2 linked regions of the Rattus norvegicus genome follow. The protein of the gene in region 2 purifies or fractionates together with the protein of the main gene of each other region. This does not show direct contact. Links are inferred from orthologs where the notes say so. Each region holds a gene or a part of one and is shown on either strand. Other genes may lie near its edges.

Evidence for each region.
Region 1: the proteins of Exosc5 (region 2) and Zfc3h1 purify together in Homo sapiens (affinity purification with mass spectrometry; 3 studies listed by BioGRID and IntAct, with this or other methods). This does not show direct contact. The link is inferred for Rattus norvegicus from reciprocal best matches to the Homo sapiens genes EXOSC5 and ZFC3H1.

What each region holds. Positions count from the first base shown.
Region 1 is NC_086025.1:52,892,944-52,897,316, reverse strand, and holds the start of Zfc3h1 (zinc finger C3H1 domain-containing protein), read right to left. Parts: upstream 2,901-4,373; coding exon 2,285-2,900; intron 1-2,284. Other genes in the region: Thap2 (THAP domain-containing protein 2), read left to right, coding at 3,779-3,849. UniProt on the Homo sapiens protein: Subunit of the trimeric poly(A) tail exosome targeting (PAXT) complex, a complex that directs a subset of long and polyadenylated poly(A) RNAs for exosomal degradation. The RNA exosome is fundamental for the degradation of RNA in eukaryotic nuclei.
Region 2 is NC_086019.1:90,302,108-90,305,561, forward strand, and holds the end of Exosc5 (exosome complex component RRP46), read left to right. Parts: intron 1-297; coding exon 298-438; intron 439-1,209; coding exon 1,210-1,299; intron 1,300-2,612; coding exon 2,613-2,705; 3' UTR 2,706-2,940; downstream 2,941-3,454. UniProt on the Homo sapiens protein: Non-catalytic component of the RNA exosome complex which has 3'->5' exoribonuclease activity and participates in a multitude of cellular RNA processing and degradation events.

The DNA of each region.
Region 1 (4,373 bases), on a different chromosome or scaffold from region 2:
TTTTAAAACCTGATGTTTTAAAGGAGGAACCACTTTCAACCTTAAGTGCAACCTAAGTGAAGATGGGATGACTTTATTCATCTAGGACACTGTGCTAGCTAACTGTGTTAAGGCTCATCTGATTTCCTTTCCAAGTTTAAAATGGCAGTTATCCCTGGGAAGCTGATGCAAGTTGACTGCCATAGCTTTGAGCCAGCTGGGCTACATACTGAATTCCAAAGTAGCTACAAAGTGAACCCATGTCTCTAAACAACAATAGAAAAAACTGAAACAGAATCTTGTCTATTCTGTTTTCTTTGAAACTGCACATAATGTATCCTATTTAAGTTATAAAACAGTAACAATAGCCAAAGCTTATCCTCCAGATGTTTCATTTCTAAATCATTTAAGTGAGTCAGAATTGCACTCAATCTTTTCTAGGCAATATTTGTAAAGTAGCCATTTTTATAATCACAGAAGACATGTGAATTAAGCTGAGTATGATACAGATATTAAAAATGTGGAAAAAGCTTTGTTTCCAAGTTTTATTTGCTCACATTATACAAAGAGGTTGGGAACTACATTTTCCTTTTCAAATTATGAAGAACAATACCTATATGGTGGTTTACTTATATCTCATAAGAACAATAATGCAGAAAATCAAACCAAGCATCTTGTTCTTAAAGTGCTGTATCTATAAAACAATCAGCAAGACAGCTGATTTGTAAGAAGCTGTCAGGGCAATCAAAACCACATCCCACACTGGATGTTTACCGACACTCTTTCTGCAATAAGTACATAAACATTCATATGAGGCAGAATCCCCAAATAGTAGCACACAAACAGAAGAAAAGGCGAGGGCAGGAGGTAGCAGGCCTAATCACCACACCTTCCTAAAGCAGAGAGATGCAGATATTCTCTGATACAAATTACAAATTTTCACCTAGGTAACCTTAAAAAACATGTTTATATACATATTTAAATATCCTTTGATTTTTTAATTCAGAAAAGAGAAAAAAAGTCCGTGGATGGCTCATGTTTGCATACAATCATGAGTAAAGGTTTTCTAATCTTCATTTAAAAAATTCACCATCTCTTAAAAGGTTACCTACCTGTGATTTTTCTCCAAAACCATCTTGAGTTGCTTCTAAAACAATGATAGGTGATAGAAGTAAAAGCTTTTTTGGGACACAGAAACCAAAATCTGTTGTTACTTTATATTTTCCTTGCTCACTTAACATCATGCCATCTGGGAAAAGCACATCTGGCCTAAAGTTCTCCATAAAGATAATTTCGAGTATCTTCCGATTAAGTGTCAGATGTAAACTTTATAGAAAATCTATTAAACATCATTACATCATGGGAATTATAGCTAGTAATGAAACTATTTTAAAGAGTAGAAGTCAGGATATATAAATCCCTAAGAAAACAGGAAAGCTTTGGACGATTAATTTCTTAACATAAATCCTGAGTAAACTTAGTAATGTTAAAGATAACTGGGAATAATGTGAGAGGGAGCAAAACTTAGGACATTTCTTCCCCACCAGTCCATTCGCTATACATCTCTCCTTCTCTAACACATTAAATTAAAAGTGCTGGCAAGTTTAAGTTTCTCTGACCTACATGTTGGCAGCACGAAGAGTTATAGAACCAAAGAGTGAACATAGGAAAGTGAACTTAATGCATATAGCCTTCCAAAGTACTTATGAATATAAAAGACCTAAATAGTAAAAATAGTAAAATAAATAAATAAAGGATCTACACACTCGCGTACACATACACACCACAATGGGCCGCAATAAGAACGAATAACTCTAGGTTAAGAAAAAAAAAATCAAAAGAACGGTAAAATTACAGAGGAAAACTTCATGAACTCTAATGTCAGGACGCAATATAAGTAACAGTATTCCTCCGGAGTACTTCTTTTCTCTAATAATCTATGTCGATGTCCTATTAAACACGAAATTCCAGGGCTAGCAAAAAAAAAAAAAGAAAAAAGAAAAAAAAACCAAGCAAACAAACAAAACTGCACAAATACTAATGAAATTTGGACTGCTGGTGTCCCGTTAAAAACCCAGACTGTATTTGATCTCCCTGGCTGACCCGAATCCATGACACGCTCCGATCCAAAAGCAACGCATCCAGTGAAACAACCTACGAAAATAGCGGTGGAGTGTGACACATGACAACTGCCGACGAACAGAGACAAATGAGTGGTTCTGAAAAGTTAAACTCCGGGACCTAGCAATGACGCCAAAGGGAGCTCCGGCGACACACCCAGGGCGGACCGCCACGTTAAGGATACAGCTCTTGCGAGGTGGAGAGGGTTCTCGCCAGCTCTGGCTGCTGCCGAATCCGGATCCCGCTCCTCCTCCTCCTCCTCCTCCTCCTAAAGGAGGTCTGCACCCCGGCTTGCCTCCTCGCTCACCCACTCCTCGCCCCCGACTCCAGCGACTCCCACCCCGGTAAGGCCTGCCTCGAAAGCGGAAACGGTCCAAAGCTATGTGGCTCCGCTCCCAGAACGACGGTCGGGGGCTGCTTTCCGACAGGGACCCCGAAGACATCCGAACCGGGGGCGGATGAGTCCGGAACGGTTCTTTGGGTCGGTAGCTGCTGTGTCCCCTGAGGTGGCCCCGCTCAGACGGGTGCCGCGAGCGTGAGAAATTCCTCAGCTGCTGCTGAGAAGAGGACGAGGACGACGAGGAGCCGCCGCCTCCCCCAGATCCGCCGCCCCGGGTCGGGTGAGGAGGCCTCCGCCGCGGATACGGTAACAGCCCGCCGCCGCTGCTGCTGGTGCTGCTGCTCCGGCTCCGGATTTGGCTGTTGTTATCGTCGTCGCTGATCTCCCCATCTTCGAGCTCCCCTTCTTCTTTCGGTGAGAGGCCGCTAGAGGCCGGGGTCGAAGTGTCGGCGGTCGCCATCCGGGGAGCAGCGCTGTCCACACTACCTTAAGCCCTCTGTCCGGGGACCGCCCGACAGCTGCCTTCCCCTTACTCCTCCGCCCTCTGTCCTAACGGACCCGGCAGGCGCGGCCTTCCCGTGTTCGGACGCCTAGCAGGTTCTGCTCCCCAACTTCCCCGCACCCCAGATCTCTCTCGCCGGACCGTCGCTAGCCAGTTCCCTCTCCTAGCGCCCCCTTGCTGCTCTTCCGCCTCGCGAGAAAGGCTCTGTGGAAGGAGGCTGTGTCCCGATCGTCATTTCCTGCGACACGCCGGAAGGCGAAAGCTAAGTGTCGCGAGAACAGGCTTTGTAGACCAGCGATGTTCGCTGGGATTTGTAGTCTCCTCTTGCTCCCCGCTTCGTCCTTGGTCCCTGCGGTCTTAACCGTCCCTAGCACCCGGTCTGAGGTGACAGGGGTCAGTGTCCCGGTAGCGGGCCTGCTCTTCAGCCGCAGGCCTGAGTTTCAGAGTAATTTGTCGGTGTGGAAGACACCTGTCATCATCTCATTCATTGCAAGGGCACCCCTATCAGAGACGCAGTATACCGAGTGTCTTTGGGACCCCGGGAAGTGGGGAGCGGGAGGGGGAAGAGGGGCAGGTGTGGCCGCCATGTTGGTGAAGGCTACCGTTTGCGCCGAGAGCTCCAGCACGTTGGCTCTGCAGGCCTAAAACCGCCATATTAATAAAGAAAAAGGGGAGTGCGGCCTCCCTCCCACTTCGGTACTGTGCACGCCCCTCTTCCCACCCCGCTCTCTGCGCGGAGCTTGTCGCCTGCCTCGTTTGTCTAGCGTTTGACAGAAGCTTAGCGGGCAGCGCCTCAGAACTGGCGTAAGGTAGCGCCGAATGAGGGGCCGGGGGAAATGCCGACCAATTGCGCCGCGGCGGGCTGTGCTGCTACCTACAACAAGCACATTAACATCAGCTTCCACAGGTAACCTGGGCAGGGAGTGGGGTGGCGGGAACGGGAGCCTAACCGGCCTGAGTCTCGGTCGCGTCAAAAGAACAAGGTCCTCTGACTTTAGTTAGCAGGGGAGCATCACTCTTGTCCTTTGTGTGTGGTTTCTCACATCTGGAAACATTTGCTCCTTTTCCGAGGAAAGTTTACCAAATTTGCAAAAAAAGAAAAGGAAAGAAAGAAAGATCGATCCGAGTTATTGTGACTGACACGCCTTACATTAAAAAGTGATGAATGTACTTTTATTTTCTACTCTTTTATTTTTATATCTTAGACCATGCCTTGAGAACAGTGACGCTATAAGGGAAAGCTCATTTCCCGTTCAAGCCAACAAATCACTCTAAAAGCCTGGTGTGTTCGAGTTAATTTTCACTAGTGGAATTGAGGTGGGAAACCTAAGAGTCACATATGGTAACTGACGAGTCAATCACTGACGGCCCTGTAATTAAGCAATGTTTATCAAAGAGGCAAACAGAAAGAAGCTCTCCTAAAACAGAATC
Region 2 (3,454 bases):
GTGTGTGTGTGTGTGTGTGTGTGTGTGTGTTCCCTGGCATTATCCCATCTGACACAGGAATACTAAGACTTAGAAAACCAGACAATCTTACAGCTGGGAGAGAGGCAATAAGGCCCAGTGTGGAGCAGCAGCAGCCACTACTCGATGCCAGTGCCACCTATGCGCCCTGCCACACTGCTGCTCTGTGGTCAGTCAGCGATGTCTGCAGCAGGCATCAGCAGGAAAAAGGAAGTGTGAGCGTGTTCTAGTGGCCAGCCCCACAGCAGACATTCTCCTTAACCAGTCCGTGATGCCCAGCTCTTGGCCTGTTGCCTGAATGCAGCCTGCATGGCATTGGTGGATGCAGGCGTGCCCATGCGAGCCCTCTTCTGTGGGGTCACCTGTGCCCTGGACCCTGATGGCAATCTTGTGCTGGACCCCACAACCAAACAAGAAAAGGTAGGCGTGGCAAGCTGGTGTTGGTGAAGGGCTGCAGCTCAGAATGCCTCCAGGCCTGACCCTAACATGGCAGTTGGCTTGTGCACCCTTGACACACTTGGCGGGTTCTGACCTATTTGTCAAGGCTCATTCAGCTTTAAGTGCTAGAAACCCATCTCAAGCCAGACTTACACCAGCCAGAAAAGAAACTTGCTAGCATTCACTCCCCAACCGTAGAGCAGAGCTCTGGTTCTTATGCCCTGTGCTGGTGTGATGGTGATGACAGGGAAGCCCGTTTCCCACCCTTCACATGAAGTGATTGGAAACCCTAGCAGTGTGGCTGGACCTCAGCAGGATCGCAGTGGGTTGCAGATACAGGCACAGAAAAAGGTGCAGTCACCTCACCTTTGTGGCTTTTGCTGCAACTGCTGCTGCCTGAGTGGGAAGCGGGATGCTTGTCTGGAGGCTTCCCAGGATCCCATCAGATAACCAGGAAAGCCTAATGGCAAGAGAGCCTTTGGCTTGCCTATGTAGGACAGAACAAGGAAGGATGCTGGAGAGGCAGCCAGGAAATGACCAGCACTGTGTTTCCCCTGTAGGACAGGGAAACTGCTCAGAATAGAGACATAGGAGCAAAGAAATAAACAGTTACCTAGGAATGGGTTGGTATGTAGACAGAGGGCTTCAGCTGACCTAGAGGCTAAGGATCCAGTTACTCCTGTTTGATACTGTCTGAGATCTTAGAAAGGAGGGTCCCTGGATACTTAACAGTCTTCTACCTCTTGTCCCTAGGAGGCCCGGGCCATTCTGACCTTTGCTCTGGATAGTGCGGAGCAGAAGCTGCTCATGTCCGCCACCAAGGGGCTCTATTCTGATGCAGAGGTACCCATGTGGGGCGGGGCACCACCCAGAATCTTTTCTCCTATCGCTGGCTGTAATGCCTTGTCCCAGCTCAGAGCAGGCTCTTCTTTATATCCCCTGCAAGGGACAGGGAAGGGCACATTCTCAGGGCTTAGTTCCTGAAGTTCCTGCCCTGTGTGCACAGGGTTCTGGGCTACAAGTTTAATCTCAGCACAGGGGAGACAGGCAGGCATAGTTCTGAATTCAAGGCCAGCCAGGGCAACATTTTGAGATCCTGTCTTAAGAAGAAAAAAAAAAATGCTCCTTTGTAGCATTTTAAAGGAAAGCCTGAAAGGTTAAATCAGAAAACAGGATTCAGCTTGAATTCAGTTGTCAGCACAGAACAGTGCCCTCTAGAATTCTGGGCTCCCAAGGGGTCTGTGCCTGTATTTCTTTTGATTTAGATCTCTCATTTCATGGCTCTTACAGTTATTGGAGTTGGGCTTGGGGGCTGACAGCTGTGATCAAAACACTTCAGAGGCTGGGGCAGAAGGACTGGTGTGAGTTCCAGGCCAGCCTGGACTATGTAGTAAAAACTTGTCTCAAAAAGAGAGCAGAGGCTCCAGGCAGGTCTGTCTAGTCACGCTCAGCAGGCCGTAAGTTAGGAGAGCTGCTAAGTCTGAGATCATCTTGAGCTACATATATAGTTCCAGGCCAACCTGGGCTACATGGCAAGATCCTGTCTCAAATAACAGCAAAAGACGTGAAGGTTAAAGGGTTATGCCTCTACCTCTCAGGCTCTCCAATTCTTTGAGTTCTTTAAGGCGTGAGGATTCTGATCTCAGGGATTCGAGGTCCTGTTGCTTTCATGAAGAGTGTGGTCCCCAAAGCCCTTAATCTCATTTCATTAAGAAAAAACTTAGGGGCTAGGAAGACGGGTCTAAATTAGAAACGCTTGCTGCCAAGCCTAATCGGCTGACTTCAGTCCCCAGGACCACCATGGCAGAAGGAGAGAACCAACGCCTTCAACTTGGTCTTTAATCTCCACAGGGCATGCTCAGGCACTGTGATTTATGTATTAAAGAGGGAGCAGGCTTAGGGGCTTGAGGATGTGGCTTAATTGGTAGAGGGTTTGTCCCACGCATCCCCGGCACAATACAAAGCCAGGAGTAGTGACGTACAGTGACTGCGGCAGGGTGATTGTTGCCGCCATGATGTAAGCGTCTCATTGTGGGGTGGGAATGAGGAGGTGCTGAGGAAGGACATGGCTGTCCTGGTGGTGAGGAGTGATAGGAGGGCCGGGGAGGATGTAGGTTCGGGGACTCCTTTGGGGTTAACTTGCTTCTCGTTCCCAGCTCCAGCAGTGTCTGGCCGCCGCCCAAGCTGCCTCACAGCACATCTTCCGCTTCTACCGAGAATCCCTGCAGAGGCGCTACTCCAAGAGCTGAGGCCCGCCAGGGCAGGGCGCCCTCCACCACGCCCACCGCCTACCCGCCAGCAGCCAGCACTCCACTGTGCCTCTGTCTGTGCCCAGGTAGCCTCTGGTCCTGTCGCAGCAGGGGCTGCTGAGGCAGGCTAGGGAGGGGCTTAGGGACATTCTAGGCCTGGGTACAACCCTCTCTTCACCAGGACACCATTAAAAAGGGCTCACCTGTGTTGAGCGAGTGAGTCGGTAGCCACTGATCTGGTGTCTGCAGAGCACTCATTCAGCAGCCTGCTTGGCGCCAAGGGGCTGCAGTGAACGAGAGACCCAGGCCGCGTGGTCCAGGGTAAGAGGTGGGTGTGGTGGTGTGGCCAGTAGTCCTTGCCACTTGGTAGGTAGAGATCATTTCCCACCGCACAGTGAGTCTGAGGCCATGCTGGGCTCCATGAGACCATCTTACTTTTAAAAGGAAGGTGATCTGGAGAGAGCTCAGCCATTAAGAGAACTTCCTTTGCTTACAGAGGTCCAGGGTTGAGTTCCCAGCACCCACATCAGGAGCTCATAACCACGTGGCTCAGCTGCCGTGGGATCGGACCTCCTCTTCTGCACACACAGAGACAGTTAACCTGAGGGGGTGGAAGGGCTCATTCCGCATCAGGATGCCTTTACCGTAGAGCAGCTGGAGATTGCCCTGAAGGAGGAAGGTGTGAGCTCTTGGCTGACGTGGGAGGAAAGGGCAGGAGGAAAGGGAAGAGATGTCCACATGGGGGCTTA